Linked DNA regions of Cricetulus griseus. The main gene of each other region encodes a partner of the protein of the gene in region 2 in a complex. Links are inferred from orthologs where the notes say so. Each region holds a gene or a part of one and is shown on either strand. Other genes may lie near its edges.

Evidence for each region. Proteins that work in one complex are often made in the same cells at the same time.
Region 1: the proteins of Galr1 (region 2) and Gal are in contact, whole or in part, in a cryo-EM structure (PDB 7WQ3), measured with the Homo sapiens proteins. The link is inferred for Cricetulus griseus from reciprocal best matches to the Homo sapiens genes GALR1 and GAL. Residues at the interface, in NP_001471.2 of Homo sapiens: Glu32, Gln92, Thr94, Val95, Tyr96, Leu98, Pro99, Thr100, His112, Gln174, Phe177, Arg180, Gln184, Phe186, Cys187, Trp188, Glu189, Gln190, Ile266, His267, Ala270, Phe275, Leu277, Ser281, Phe282, Arg285; in NP_057057.2 of Homo sapiens: Gly33, Trp34, Leu36, Asn37, Ser38, Gly40, Tyr41, Leu42, Leu43, Gly44, Pro45, Val48.

The regions. Positions count from the first base shown.
Region 1 is NC_048596.1:55,827,709-55,835,891, reverse strand, and holds Gal (galanin peptides), read right to left. Parts: upstream 5,064-8,183; coding exon 4,983-5,063; intron 4,338-4,982; coding exon 4,283-4,337; intron 1,905-4,282; coding exon 1,815-1,904; intron 1,431-1,814; coding exon 1,353-1,430; intron 900-1,352; coding exon 829-899; downstream 1-828. UniProt on the Homo sapiens protein: Endocrine hormone of the central and peripheral nervous systems that binds and activates the G protein-coupled receptors GALR1, GALR2, and GALR3.
Region 2 is NC_048595.1:233,139,122-233,147,082, reverse strand, and holds the start of Galr1 (galanin receptor type 1), read right to left. Parts: upstream 5,043-7,961; coding exon 4,368-5,042; intron 420-4,367; coding exon 354-419; intron 1-353. UniProt on the Homo sapiens protein: Receptor for the hormone galanin. The activity of this receptor is mediated by G proteins that inhibit adenylate cyclase activity.

The DNA.
Region 1 (8,183 bases), on a different chromosome or scaffold from region 2:
TCCCCCATACACACACACTTAGGATGTTTTAAAAAGAGAGTGAGGTTGGGGTCATCCTTTATGTGGAGCCTCTGTGGTCTCCTTTCATCTCCCCTGTTCTGTAGAGGACACATAGCCACGTGAGACCAAAGGTGAGAGCCTGCCCTACAGCCAGGGAGACACAGAAGGAAAGGCTCAGCTCAATCTAGCACCTGGGTACCTGGCTGTCTGTTACCTATGTTCATTTCTGATCTTCTGGTATCATCTGCTTTCTGCTTAGAGCCAGTTCTCTTCCTGTCTTCATAGCCACTGCTCCAGGTTGGGGTTGCACCCATTTGTGCCTTTGTTTGTGCCAGCAGCACACTAGTCAGCTACATCAGACTGAGCTGAGCATGGAGATAACTGTTCTGGGCACAGCAAGAGCCGACAGGTATTCTGCAGTCCATGTGGAATTTGGGGTTAAATCTCACCTAAAGCATGGGTAGATATCTGCTGTTACCTTTTAAAACATACTGGTGGGGGAGCCAAAGAAATGACTCAGCAGGTAAAGGCACCTACTGCCAAGCCTGATGATCTGAGTTCAGTCCCCAAGGTGCACATGTGCATATATATAATAAAGAAATAACCACACAGGAGGTAATGGGCTGCAGCACAGAAGAGCCAAACAGTCCCAGGTACTTGCTAGTCTTTATTGTGTCACACAATATAATCACTCCAATCAAAACATCTTAATTATAACAACATAGCGTCAAAGCAGAGAACAGAGGGTTTGCTTGAGGAGTTGGCAGAAGATTCTATCTAGAGTGACTTTATATTACAGCATAGGACAGGTGCTGGGTGGGTGTGGTCTCAGGACTGCTCTAGGTCTTCTGAGGAGGTGGCCAAAGGGAGGCCAGGCAGGCTGTCGAGGGCCCCAGCCTCTGAATAAGGAAGAATGGCAGTCAGGTAGTTAGCTTGAGAGAGAATCATGTGGCCGTACCCATAGAGAGGGGTGAGGTCTTACTGTGGGGACCTTGAATTGGGACAGCATCTGTGTGTCTCACCTCTGAAAGACTGTCCACTCTTGAAAGAGGGTAGACCATAGTAGTTGTGAAGCTAGTGTCTAAGATCAAAACCAAACGGAAACACAGAAGCCCCTGGCAAAGCCAAGGCACCCTCAGCAGCAGTAGTCACCCAGAGATCTGCAGAAAGCCCTAAAAACTCCCTAGAGGTCTGAGGACCTGGGTTGGGGCTCTAATGATATCAGCTTGCCCACAGTCCCCCACCTGGTTGGTAGGTTTTACTTTTTAAAATACTGTGTGTGTGTGTGTGTGTGTGTGTGTGTGTGTGTGTACTCGAGCTCGTGCTATTTTAGATGGAAAATATTCCCATACCTTTAAGGTGCAGGAAACTCAGAAACTCCATTATGGTGCGCACAATGTTGCTCTCAGGCAGTGGTCCATCAACACTTCCTAGACAATGGAAAAGAACTGTGTCGTGGCCTATTTCCTCACCACCCTCCTATTACCCATCAGAAGCCAGGGAGGCTGGCTGAGAGCCTGGGGGCATTGTAGACCATCCAGGGTCTTGCTAGAGAGGTGAAGGGACCCTGAACCAGCTTTTCCATGGCCAGCTCCCTTGTTGTAGCTGCATGCCCATGACTCTGCTCCCCAGTCCTGCCAGTTGAGAGGTGTGTGAGGCCACAGGCTCCCAGGTTGCTCCCAGGTCCTGCCTGGCCAGGACAGCCCCAGGCTGTGACTGGAGGCAGGATAGTGGTAGGTGTCACCACCATATCCCCACATGCACCCGGGAGTCCCGGTAGTGACGGGATGCACATCCAAGGACTCCAGCTTTACCTGGTCTTCCTTCCTCCGCTTCTAGTTGTAGCTCCCGCTTGCCTGTGAGGCCATGCTTGTCACTAAATGACCTGTGGTTGTCAATGGCATCTGTTTGCAGACCAGAGAGGAAGGGCCTGCTGTCACTGTGGCTTATCCCATTTCCATCCCCAGGGGAAGACCACACACAGCTGGACCACCAGCATAAAGCCAGTGTGTGGACACCCCAGAAGAGGGAAGCAATGTCTCCAGGGTCCCTGGGTGAGGGTGGTGATCACAGGGAACTGGGACTCCAATGGGAAGAGAGAGGTTGATGGTAAGGAGGGGTAGGCACTGAAGTAGATGTCTCCGACAGAAACAGGTGCCAGGTGCAGCTGGGAACATCCCAGGAGGTGGCTGGCCCCAAAGACAGGAGCTGGCTCCTAGGAAATACCTCCAAGAAAGATAACAGAACCTGGGTCTCCGCATCCCAGGAAACTAGGACATTGGAGAAATAACAGACTGTTATTTTCAAGGACCACTCCCATGTAGGAGGATTACATCCAGGGAAGGTGGGGTATCCAGGGAATGGGGGTGCAGAGAGCTGTGACTGTGGCTATGGCAGAGGTCCCTAAGAGATGAGGTCAGAGTCCAGGAAAGAAATGGCAGCTGACAAGTATTGAGAGATGGTACACAGAGGCTGGAGGGGGCGACTTAGGAGACAAAATAGGTGACATGGATGAGGCTCAGGACTTCTGGCCGCTTAGCTCACTTAGCCAAGCTAAACAAAAAGGCCAGTGAGTTCAACGGAGCCAGAGTTTAGGGCTAAATTCGTGGAGTAGCTACATTGTCTCATTTTGGAGCTCCTCCCTGAGGCATCCACATCCCAACAGCTCTGGCCTTTCAAAACCTGCCACACCTTGGTGGCATCAAAAGTACCTGACACCTGGCAGTCCACAGTGCACCTGCTGACCCAGCTGGATGGCTGCATGAACTTGACAGTGGGAACAAGTTTTCTATTCTGGCTCAAAGTCTTCCAGATAACATTTTCAATATTGTAACGTGACAAGGGTCAGTACCAGGCTCATACCTGTGAGGACTCTGGGAACCAGTCTGCAGACCTCTCCACAATCCCGGGCTAGGAGATCTTTCCAGGAATCAGGTGACTATGTGGACCCTGCACAGGGCCCCAGGCAGATTTGTCAACCCTATGCTTTGTTTCTTGAAGGATGAGCACACACATCTGCAGTGTGAACATGTGGCCTCATGCAACACAGGCTCAGAGGCACGGGCCCCCACTCCACTGTCCCTTCCCCTCTGGTGGACTGAGGATAGGGGTGGATGGATGGATGTTTTGTTTCTACCCAAGTGCCAGGGGCCAGCAAATGGGTACAGGTGTCTCAGAGCCAGCTGTGCATGTGAATTTAAAAACCACAACAGCTAAGCAACTAACTAGGCAACTCTCAGGAGGGAGCCAGTATCTTCCAGCTGTCTGCAAGCACCTTTCCCCTCTGTGGCTGCCTGTCCCTGCAGAGCTGTCTTTGCCCCTTGGTGACTCCACAGCCTCAAGCAAAGACCCTGTCTCTGGTGGTCACAGGTAACAAAACATTCACACTACACAAACATCAAACTCAAAGAAGGCCAAGCATCAACCTCCATTCCCCACAGGGTGACGACAGTGAGATGTGATGGATGTGTCATCAACACCACTTGGGTGATCTGCCCCACCCCACTCCATGCAAAGCCTCAGATTCTAATCCTCCCCAGCCACGAATGCAGAAAAAGCACTAGTGACATAGAGTGGGACCTGTGCTGAAGGGACAAGACTAGTGTTAGTGTAAGGTGCTGGGGTGACCTTGGGGCTGGGACTGGGGGAAAATGTTTGAGCAAGAAAGAAACCAGCTCAGGTGAGTCTTAAGATGAGACATCTGGCTACCTTTGTCAGAGTTCCCTTCTAGAGCTCAGAGGGCAGCTTCAGGATTCCAGGAAGTAGAAGAGGGTGTTAGTAAGACCCAGGGACTCAGAGAGTAGACCCAATCAGAACTCCAAGGAGTCCTGGAAGACTCCCCAAGAAGCCCAAATCAGAAGAAACTTCTAGAAGGAACAGGTGCTGAGTTTAAATGTGCAGAGCAATAATGGGCAGTCCCTGGTTTGCCCAGAGGTATCAGGTGCTGAGTGGGGCAGGGCAGCTTTGAGAAGTGGAAGAGAAAGGTTCAGACCAGAGCAGGCTCAGAGGCAAGATAAATCGAGGAGGGTAGGCACTGGGGTTTCCAGGAGACCCCAGGAATGAGCTCAACGGCTATAAGAGCTGGAGGCTGGAGGGGTAAGGCATTTCAGCAGGTGTTTTAAGTTGCAGTGGTTTGGCTAATGGAAACCCACAGTCCCCACAGCCACATGGGAATGCCCCCTGGTTTTCATCTGAGAGTAAATTGACTATGAGAACAGTGCCTGGTTCCCATAGTCACATCAGGACCCACAAAACCTCAGCCACCCAGCCCTACATCACTCACGTGGGCCCAGAAGGTAGCCAGCGCTGTTCAGGGTCCAGCCTCTCTTCTCCTTCGCCTAAAATAGGATGGCATGGGTCAGACAGCCTAGGTCCCTGGGCTGAAGAGCAGAGTAGCCCAGCCCAGCACAGAGAAGCCTAGGCACCCAGGCTGCCCTGAGTGACAGCATTTGACCTGAACACACAGCTGCATCCACTAATTCTGGGTCCAAATGTTCAAATCAGAGCAGGGCTCAGATGGTAACTCCTAGTACTCTCTTCAGAGCCAGGTGGCAGGCAGACTTTCTCCTGAGCAGCCTCAGGGCTGAGGGCTGTGCCTCTAGCACCCCCAATCTCTGGAGGAGTTAGTCTGTTTACCACAGTTGTTGGCCAACAAATAGGAGCCTTTTCCTTGCTGTTTTGTTGAGACAGCCCGGGAATAGCCCAGGCTGGCCTAATATTGCTATGTAGGGGAGTCCCAGCCTTGAACTTTTGATCCTCCCGCCTCCACCTGCCTCCTGCGCGCTGGAATTACAAGCCTGGGCCCCTATGAATAGAGCCATTTTGAGCTTGTCAGTGCCCAGCTGGTCCTCAGCCGTTCTCTTGGGACCCTCCCCACCACCCCACCCCTGCTGTGGGGAGAATGAACCATCCTTTGCTCCAGGCTGATCCTCACGTCTGACCCCCTTAGTCCTCTTTAGTGGTCGTCTGTCATCAGCACTTACTGGCACCCCAAGCCCCAGAGTAGCTGACAGGGTAGCAGCCAACAGGAGCCAGGCTAGCAGGAGGGCGCTGCCTCTGGCCATCTGGAAGGAGAGAAGTGAACGAGTTGACACCATCTAAGCGGCCTTGCACATGCACATCTCTGGGGGCCATTCGGACTGCGGACAGGAATGTGGGAGTGGCAGGATGGTGGGAGAGGCCGGACGATAGGGACCAAGCTGTGAGGGGCAGGGGCAGGGACGGGACGGCCAGCCACCCGAGGACTCGGGTCTGGCGCAGCTCATTGGGACGCAGGTACCTTGAGTAGCGGTGGGAACTGGGCGTGGCTGGTAGGCGCAGGTAGGGGTGTCTCTGTCCGGACGTGGCCTGGCAGACGGGCGATTCGCTCACCGCATGGCACAGAGCAGCAGCGTGAGAAAGCGTGCGAGGATCCCTCGACGTGTCCGCAGCAGGAGCAGCGCTGTCGCTGCTATTTATGCCCCACGGGAGCTGGGAGCTGCCGCGTCACCCGCTCAGCGCCGCCTCCCGCGAGTCCCAAGGGCCGCAGTGACAGGAACCGCTCCTGGGAGAAGGAGAGGACCACCCCCAGTCCCAGACCGTCACCCGAGCCATCCCTGCATCACAGAGCTCCTCCCCCAATGTTCCAACCCGGTGCTCAAACAAGAGTGACTCTGACACCCCCATCCTGAGGCTGGCGAGGAGTCTTACTCTCCTTCCCAGGGCTGGGGCTGGAAGGACCACTCAACATCCCAAGCGAGGCCAGTCACAGTCCGGGGCACCTCCTGAAAAACCAAGTTCCCAGGTCCTGCTCTCCACCTGCAGCTTCCCTACCCAGGGACCAGGGACCTCCACTCCTGTTTTGCTGAAGGTGGAGGGGGGGCAGCCATTCAGGGGTGCGGGCAGAGTGGAGGGTGGCTGGCCACATGGACAGGAAGGCCATAGAGTGCTGGAACACTGGATCAGCACACCTGGGCGTGTGTGTCATGGCACACGTGGGAGTCAAGGGACAACTCTGAAAGCTAGTTATCTCTGATATTTACGTAGTTCTGGATTTCCAGTCTTGTACTGAGTACCTTTGCCCACTAAGCCATCTTGCCGGCCCTCCTTTTAACGAAATGATACTTTGTCTTCAACCCCTCTTGTTTTGCAAATGTTCAAAACCAATAGGTGGACAACACTCCTCTGCCCACATCTCCCCTAGACTCCAGGGAAATCCAACCTTGGGCAGGCTAGGGCCTGAACATCCAGCCATCAGGCCCCATGGGAGGCTCAACAGAGGGAGAGGGAAGTACCTCTCACATTGGCCACTGAGATCTCAGTCAGCTGACCAGAAGGCAGAGCCCCAATGTGTCCCCCTGATCAGAAGCAGCTGGGATAAAGGGGAAAACAGACCAAGTGAGTGTCTGTCCCATAACCATTGAGACACAGTGGCAACAGCCTGCCACTCAGCTGTCTCAGCTAAGATAGGATGGTGTCTTGAACCTAAAAGTTCAAGGCCAGCCTGAGTAATGTGGCCAGATCCCATCTCAAAAGGTTAAAAACAAAACAAAACAAAAACCAACAGGAGCCAAGACTACCCAGTGATCATTTCTCCTAACATGTCTCACAGGGCAACCAGACATGGCCCTAATTAAATACTTTCGTGTTAGGAATTCATTTAAGGAGGTTATAGCAAGCTGGGTGTGGTGGTATGCACCTGTACCCTCAGCATGGGGAAGGCTGAGAGAGGCAGGAGTTTTAAGGTTGTTCTCCACTATACAGTGAGCTTGAGGCCAGCTTGGAATAAATGAAGCCCTGTCTTTTTAAAAAAACGGAGAAAAGGAAGGAAGCTATGTGGAAGACTGGGGCCAGACTCAAAGCTCACCCTTCAACGTCACTCCCCTCCAGGGTGTTTCCACCACTTGGGGTGGCCCCTGCTATCACTGCTCCCCATTTTGGTTGGGTGATGAGGTTTCTGTCCAACCTCTGGAGTGCCTGGCACCTACTGGGGAAACACCGGAAGGTAGAAACAGGACAGGGCTGTGACTTGCCACATCACTGATAAACTCGCTCCTACAAATGAGGACAGGGTACAGGATAACAGCACCCTCCTTCCTGGTACATGCTGTGCTGGAACCCAAGGCCTTATTCTAATGGGCTCTTCACTCAGCAATGACCCAATGGAATCATTGTCAACTTGTCATCTTCAAGGCGGCCCAGCATGTAGCTAGCAAAATGGGTCACCATTAGAGTAATGGACATGAAACACAAAGTGTCATTTTCCTACCTGTAAGTCCAGACTTTCTCAGAAGCTCTGCTTGCCGCTGCCACCAAGAAAAACTACCCAAACCTGAACACCAAAGACCCGGGGGCTCAAGAACAGCATCCCACTTGGGACTGTATCAGCAGTGCCCTGGCACTGCAGCTGTGGTTCTGAAACAGAGGGGCCTGCCCCCAGGGGAACTCCAATCTGGTGCAGACCTGAATATACAACCGTTCTCCAAATAACCGTTATGGTGAGAAGGTCTGTGAATCCAGAGCTAACAAGCAGGTAGATATGTCCCAATGAAGAGCCCGGGCCCCACACATTCCAGGTGGAGGACACCATGTGGGTATGCCTCTTTTCAGTCTTCCTTTGCTTCTTCCTCCTGGCTGGAGGGAAGCAACTATTTGGAGCCCAAGGTGATGGCTATGGTAGACAACCAGACTGAAGGAGCTGTGATTATGGGTACCTGAAACCAGATCCTTTGCTGCCTGCCTCTAGGCGTGTTTCAGAACAAAGTCCACTTTTTATTCAAGCCCGTGTTATTTGGAGTTTTACAGTTGATGCATCTGGAGCTACTGTGATCGGCATTTCCCACAAAACATTCGCCATCTGATGGGTAAATGAGCACAGACAAACAAATGGGAGAATAAGTCATCACCATTTCTGGCCATGCTGGGAAGATGGACTCATGAAAGGAGAGGCTGGGAAGAGCCACCAGACTGAGAAGCGGCCCTGTACCCCACTGTGATCTCATTATGACCGGAGAAGCAACCAAGAGAATGGTTAGATGATCTGAAACTGTCCAACCTTCACCCTGAAGACGTGCTTGACTCTCTTCCACCTGTTTCTACTGGCCCAGTTCCTTCTAACCTGACCCTAGTAACACAGTGGTCTTTGGGGGGAAAAAATCTCCAAATAATTCTCTGGGATGGGGGAACAGAAGCTGGAGCTAGGGTTG
Region 2 (7,961 bases):
AGAGATTAAGAGAATGTAACAATGGCGTTAAAATACAGAATTGATAGCAGAGGAGGGAGCACAGTGTTCGGGGCTGACTCCTGTCATAGAACTCATACTTCGGCAATTAGTATAAAGAAAGATCCGCAAGCTTAGAACTAAACGCACCTAATAACTGTTGGGAGCTAAGGAAGGGCCAGGGGCAGAAGTCTGAGACAGTCATCAATTCTTAGACAGCTTTCCCCCAGGCCACACCCCATCCACCCCTCAAAGAGGGTTAGGCCATCTGTGAATGGATGTGAGGATAACTTAAAACAAAAAGCAAGCAGAGCTCTCCAAAATTGACAGCCACTGCACCTGTTTGAGAATATTACCTTTTTCTTGGATGCTTCTGACTTTTTTGACATGTTCTTCAACTTTTTATGCAGATGGTTAAGGACCTGCAAAATAAAGACAGATAAGATGTGTTTACCTCATGCTTTGCTTACACATTGCCTCTTCTTCAGTGGCAGCCACTGAACATTCTGCTGTGATCACACTATTGTTTACAAAACAATGAAAATAGGAATGCATCATAGATCAAAACAACCCTGAATCAAAGTCAATGGATACGTTCAGAGGTATCCCTGAAGACAGACAACACCCAGACATGGTAGAGTCCATGAGAATGCTAACATGCTCAGAGTTTCTTGAGGGAAAGAACCTCCCCTGAAGGTGGGGTATGGCTTGCTCCTGCAATCCACTGCTCTCCCTGCTTTAGTTCTTTCTGCCGAAGAATCTACATGCCTAAAAACACCAGGTCCTGGGGTTCAGTGACAGCTCAGAGACCCACTGAAAACTGGAGACCCAGGCTATGGGAGTTGATGATCCAGTGAAGAAAACCTACTGAACAAAGAAGAGACTTTACAGTTACTCTGTGGATTCCCCTGTCCTGTGCCAGTTTCAATACTTGCTACAAACCTCTCCCATTACAGATCTCTTCGAGCAAAGCACCAGCTAGCAACGCTGCTTTCTTGTGTAATTCAAACACTGTGTGGTCTTATATTTTTGGTTGTAAGCCTAGCCTTTAGCAGCTAAGCCATCTCTCCAGTCTCACTATGTGGCCCTTAGACATAACCCCCCTTTTAGGAATTCGGCATCGTTGGTGATGATTGCAGGTTTTACCCTTACCATACCTGTCAGTGAGGTAAGGTAGCTTTCATTCATTGAGAACCCACTCTGTTCTCTTGCCACTGTGATATTTGGGAGAAATTATATCAATTATATATGGGAATTTACAGTCTGAACTTGCTCCCCGGTTTGTAACCTGCAGAGCTGGCCCAAGGCTTATTTTCTCTATTCTGTTGGAGAACTGGGAATAAATGGCAAAGAGCTTGAAATGGGCTGCAGGTTTCTGAAAAGGCTCTCAGGACATGGACGCATGTTCAAGCAACTTGGATGTTTTCCTCCAACACCACAGCATGGAAATAATGTAATCGAATTGGCCTGGCCGCCGCTGAAGCCTTCTCCACTCTGACAGAGGCAGCACCATCAGTCACATCCTAATTGAGAAACCTCAGGATTCATTTACCAGCCTTCCCTGCCCTAGCAGTCAGAGCCGACAACCAAGCAACCGTCTCTGGTGTGAGTCTCTGCCTTCAGATTCCCTGCCTTACCAAGACACCTCTCACTGCTGAAAACACATCAGTGTCTGTCAGCCACACAAGCCTCTGCTTACTATGGGAGCAAGTGGACAACTTGCTGGTGCATTGACAGTGAAGTAGCTCTGTCCTGCCAACAGAAAGTACATAGAAGGCAGTCACCGAGGGGTTTTCAATAGCAGCAATGAGAAAAGCCTGTAAGAGGGAGGTGAGGCTGGAGCCAGGAGCCTGCTGATGGAAAGGACAGTCCAGCTAGCTGACAACAGCTGGCATGATTGTAAATTCTTATATATGACAGCAACAACAACATTCACAGCATCTCTCCCAAATATGATAGTAGCAAGAGAACAGAGTAGCCTCTAAGCAGCTATTCTAGCTGGAAACCATCTTTTGCATAGATGTTAATATTTGCAGACTTATTAAAGCAAAAACAGATATGCTAAGTGCAAAACCTGCAAGATGGTCATATGTCACCAGTGATGCTGAATCCCTAGAGGGAGTTGTCTAAAGAACAGACATCACAGTACTGTGGGTCACAAGGAAAAGAATACGGATATGCTGAAAGAGTTCACTAAAGGCATAAGTATGGGTGGCATACTTCTTGATGTTAACTGGGTTTACATAGTCAGGCCAACTAAGTTGGGTTCCAGTTCAGGAATTCTGCAGCACCTAAGCATATTGACTTTGCTGATCAGTCCACAGAGATGATTCCAAATGTGTTCTTCTTAGCTCTGTTTTCCCTCCACAGCTCAGGCTATAAGCACATAGTGGCACAAGGTCCTGCCATCAAGCAAGAGATTGTAGACATTGGGACCACTTATGATTTTATCTCTGGAGACAATGAGCATAGTGGGCATGCCCTCACTTCAGACCTAGGAGGGCTCTAAGCAGAATGCATGCTGAGGACAGAGAGTGGCAGTCAAGAGCCCTACAGTGCAGAGAGGAGCCGTCTTGAAGAACACAGGCTGCTCCAACTCACTATGCTCTCCAGGGTCTTTGAGGTGCAAAGAGCTGTCTCACTAAACACAGCTGAGAAGATCATCTCTGAATCAATGAATAAATGCAATTTATTCATTGATTTTTTAAAAAGAAAAATCTAAAATACACACCAATCTCAAGTGTTATTTTGGCCATTTGTGGTTCCTCGAGTTGGCCCAATTCCTTGGACATATAGCCAGTTCAGAACCTGGCACTCAAGTTCTAGAGTCATTAACTAGATGACACTTACTTACTGCCTGACAGAAAACAGCAACTCCAGGTCTCTTATCTGTAGCTATTTAGGGCCTGGAATAAATGTGCAAGTATTAACATTGACTCAAAAGATGTTTGCAGCTAGACTACTTGGTGAGAAGCCAACTATTTCTGGATGAAAAAATAGTCAAATTTTCACCCATTCATTAGTTCCTAGACTTTGTCTTCTGTGGGACTTTTGTAGACTCTTTATTGACAGCCTGTTTAGTCCTAAAAGTTTACTTTTTCATTTCCACAAAGATGGAAATGGTTTTCCCCCTAGGGACTTGGGGCAGGGGATGAAGAGAGCCTGTGTTTCCTTTTCAAAGTAGCAGTTAGGAATTTAAAAGAGCAATATTTTAAGTACAGCTCTAGTTCCCAGCCCCTGTCCTCCAGAGGCCAATTAATTGTCATCTCCTGAAACCCCTTCTTTTACCAGACTCACCATCTGGTCAGTTGTTGCATCCCTCTGAAAGTCCTCTTATTAATAAGATAGAGATGGCAATTCCCACCCAGAGGCTCGAAGACCAAGCTCATGGGTGTGTGTGCATGCCCCACAACTCACTGTGCATAGAAGTCTTTGCCTTGCATTTGAAAAGACCAAAGGAATAAATTGGCTACTTCCTGACAGCTAGGCTGTACAAGCATCTTGGGAGCCAGTGTATTCATTTAAGTAATATGGCCATTCAAAAGACATACTGATCACATAGACGTGGGGAAGATGGATTCTTTTAAATGTATTTTTCTGGTGGAGATGTACCTTATAGTGGGATGTAAGAAACCATTGCTTTTCTAGATAGGAAGTTGTTTATGGTCCTACTGCCCACAGTCCAAAAGATTGGGAGTCAATGAAGGATAAAGTTGCATGGAAACTTTAGAATTTGCCTTGCAGGGATTCCCCCCTTCCCCGCTAGTTCTCATAGTACCCTAAAAAGAGATATGACATTGAGGTTATCTCAAGAACCTCATCAAGTGGCCACTAAAAATACACTCTGGATGATTAATGGTGCATCAGGTGGTGATTGAGAAGTCTAAGACTTTTGATTAATGTAAATGCCCATTTCTCTGCAATTCCTTAGGAGTTGTGAGCCACAGGTTCTTCCAAAATCATGACGACAAGATAGATAATCATATAGCTCCCCTCGCTGTGTGTTCTTGCTGCCCCTTTCCAGACCAAGCTCACCACCTGGATCCCCAACGCTGTCCACAAAACCTTGCTGGGAAACAGCAGCTGCCCTTCCACCCATGGTGTGTCCCAGCAGATCTGGGACACACACCTGCCTCTGTGCTTTGTGAGGCCACCTGAGGCAGAGCTGCAGTGCCCTTGAAGAAAAGCAGAATGAAAGTCTCTCTAGACAGGAATGCGAACTCTCCCCAGTACCTCTCAAACTCTAAGTTAACTTTCTTGTGTCACAAATCATTATAGAGCAAGCTGAGACAAAATGGAATGGAGAGGTAGAAGGAGCAGAGGAGCAGGATGCTAGAGGCTTGGTCGGGGGGACAGTGCTCCCCACTCACCTTGGCATAGCAAAAGCAGATGAGCAGTAAGGGCAGGAGATAGCCAAAGACGAAAGTGCACACCACATAAGCCTTCTTGTGGAGCTGGTTGGGCCAAAGCTCCCAGCAGAAGGTTTGGTTGTTGTCCCGATAGTAGAGACGCTGGTGGTAGGCCACTGGTGAGGCCATGGCGATAGACAGTGCCCAGATGAAGCCCACGCCCAGCAGCGCATTGCGGGACACCCTGAGGGAGGAGGAGCGCCGCGAGTGCACGATGGCCACGTAGCGGTCCACAGACATCGCGGCCAAGGTGAAAATGCTCACGAGCATGGATACAGTGAAGAAGTAGTGTGTGAACTTGCAGATGAAGGCGCCCAGCACCCAAGTGGGCAGTGCGTACACGGTGGCCTGGAAGGGAATGCAAAAGAGCAGATAGGCCAGGTCTGCGATGCTGAGGTTGAGGATGAACAGGTTGGTGGTGCTGCGCGGCTTGCCAGGTTTGCTGCGCGCCAGGACAGTGATCACCAGGCTGTTCCCCAGCACGCCCATCGCGAATATCAGGCCGAACACCACCAGCGTGATGAAGTTCTCCACGCCGATGCCAAACAGCAGCCTGGACTCCACAGCCGCGGGAGGCTCTGGATCACTCCCGTTCCCCTCGTTCCCCTCGCTGAGATTCAAGGTAGCCAGTTCCATCACTTACTGGCACACCCCTTGGGTGTCTATGCAACGGAAAGCGCTGGGAAGGAGTGCCAGGCAGGGAAGGCGGGCTCTGGGGATAGCTGAGAATCTCCGGGTGTCTCGGCACAGTGCAGTGAGAGCGTGTATCTCCAGCCAGAACCCCCAGCAACCTGAAAAGAGAGCAGGGGGCAGCGCCCCGGGCCGCGCCTGGTCAAACTGTCCTTGGTGCCTGGCCTGGCTACAGAGGGGGCGGTGCTGCAAGTACCTAGTTGAACCTTCCCATGCGGGGGCGGTGGACTCCACAACACAAGAGGTACTGGTCCTCTGTGTGACTCCTCCGATTGCGAGCTGGGCTGATAGGACTCGACCACGCGATCAGCCTGGTCTTTTGCGCCTTACCGGTTCTAATCCTTTTCTGGCCGTGTCCCCTTGCTCCCGCAGTGCCGTGGGGTCGCACCTGTTGCTCTGAGCCTCTTTATCCAAGCGAGCTGTCAGGGCACTGTGCTGCACACCTTGGATAGTGCAGAGTCGCTGAGCTTCCCACACTAAGCGCTGCGCTGCGCTGCGGCTCCCTCCTGCTTTCTCCCTGGTCTTCTGCAGGGCAAACCTCTCTCTGGGGTTCCCAGTGGCGGGCAGAGTTTCTTCTGCACGGGGGGGGGGGGGGCGGGCGGGGGCGGCGAGCAGTAAGAACTCAACTGCGTCTCCCCTGTGCCTCCGGAGTCCCTCCTGAAAAAGCACAGCTTGTTCTCTGAGCCTGGGCGCCCTCACCCAGATGGGTGGCAGCCCACCTCCTTGTTGGAGAGCTGCTCTGGTCCCTCGAAGGAGACTTCTTCGCACTGGCAGCCAAGCTGAGTAAGCTCCTGTGCGCGACTGGCTGAGGCGACAGGCTGTGCAGCCCTTCTGCCAACCGTACCCTGGTCTTTCCCGCTCCCAGCAAGAGCAGAAATAAACCTCACAAAAAAATCAAAAGGTTGGTCCTGCTACCGGAGGTGCTGTCACATTCGCTGCCTCTTTCCCTCCCTCATCCAGTCACAAGCTGAGCAGGGAAGAGGCAGGGGTGAATGGAGTTTTCATTAGGAGCGTGTCCTGCGCACACCGTACACCTCGGAGATCAGTCATTTCCACCACACATTACTCATCTGCGTGACACGAACGAACGGAAGCCTTGACAAGTGGTGTGTTTGTAAAGAGGTGTGGGACTTCCACCACCGCTGAAACCAGGGCAAACCAACTAGAAACAGCTGCCTATCTGGTAGTAGACACGGAAAGAAAACCCTGCCATTGCATGTACACGGTGTAGGAAGGGCTTAACTACGTCGCTTTCAAATAAGCCAGGGTCCTCCAGTGTGTGCGTAACCACAACTGTTGGACACAAGGCCGGAGGAAGAGTAAACACAGGCAGGGTCCTGGAAAAGCTCTGTGCCCAGGACATTGGCTCCTAGCACAGTCCAGCACTTCAGGGAAACGTGCACAATGGTGAGGCAGCAGCCACTGTACCTTGGGGATTCTGGGGACAGTCTGACCTCATTTCTCCCCCTCACCAGCTCTCTTGGGACACTTTTGCCATACAGTGCATATCTGCTAGTTCTTTTCTCTTCTGCTTAATGGAGGAAGCTCCCTTATGAAAAGACGTTGTATTCATTTTATGGAGGGCATGTCAGCTGTTACTAGCGTGCATCTAAGCATCCTAAGGACATCAGTTGCCTTGCCTTTCTCACCAGTAACACTCTGTGGCCGGCAGCTTCACAGGGTTCTGTCCTGTCCCTAGTTCTATGACATATGACCTATAAAGGTCATATGTAATATGACTTGAGGGAGTGGCTTAGCCTTGGGGTTTCTATTTTGATTTGTTCTGGTGTGTGTGTGTGTGTGTGTGTGTGTGTGTGTGTGTGTGTGTGTGTGTGTTTCTGGAAGGTGGTTGAATCCAGGGCCTTAGGTATGATAGGCAAACACTCTACCAGTGATCAATATCCCCAGCAAGAACTTATAGGGATTTTGCTCTTGTTTTTGTTTTCATGTGGAGTAAACTTTTCATTAATTAATTACTATCCTGTGTGTGTGCATAAGTGTGTTTGTGTGTGTGTGTGTGTGTGTGTGTGTGAGTGTGTGTGTGTGTGTGTGTGTGTGTGTGTGTGTGTGTGTGTGCTGGCACTCATGGCAGTCAGAGCAAACCTTTTAAGAGTCACTTCCTTCCACCATGGGCTCTGGGGATAGAGATAGAACTCAGTCATCAGGTTTTCTGAGCTGTTTCTTTGGCCCTCTATGGATTATTTTTGACGTGACAGGCATATAATGAGGTTACATCATATACACAAGTGCACCACCCATCTTAAGATACTTAAAAACTTATCAATATGCTTGAAGACATTGTGTATGCTAATGACAACCTCACCACAGTCACCTGTGTGGTCTGTCGCTCACTTCCAAATGTACATGTGATATATGCTTATGTCCCTCAATGGTATTCTCTGGTGGGGATTGAGGGTTTCATTTTTGCTTTAGCAGCGTGAGGAGATATGGTTTGCACTATGATTTACATTTTGTCTTGGTTTGCAACATGGATTGCATCTGTCTTTTGTTTTTTTTGCACTCTTCCCCAATCCTATGATATCCTCAGAGCAATACACAAATGAGAGACTCAAATCCAATGTGCCCATCTGTTTCCCAACTGGTGAGTTTGGTCCATTTCTGTGTGTGGCTGTCAGGGATCCAAGTGAATTGGTTTGTTGACATTCCCTGGACACTTCTCTGTTCCGTTTCCTACAAGCTGCTCCCTCTGCTGTTCTTTCCCTGGAATGTTCTTTTTAATTATTTATTTATTTAGAGACTACTTTATTGGTTTTTGTAATCAAACCCACGTAGATAAGACCTTACATATTTGATACAGTATGTTACCCCTGTGCAAATGGGAAAAAAAGTAAGTTTAACATTTCT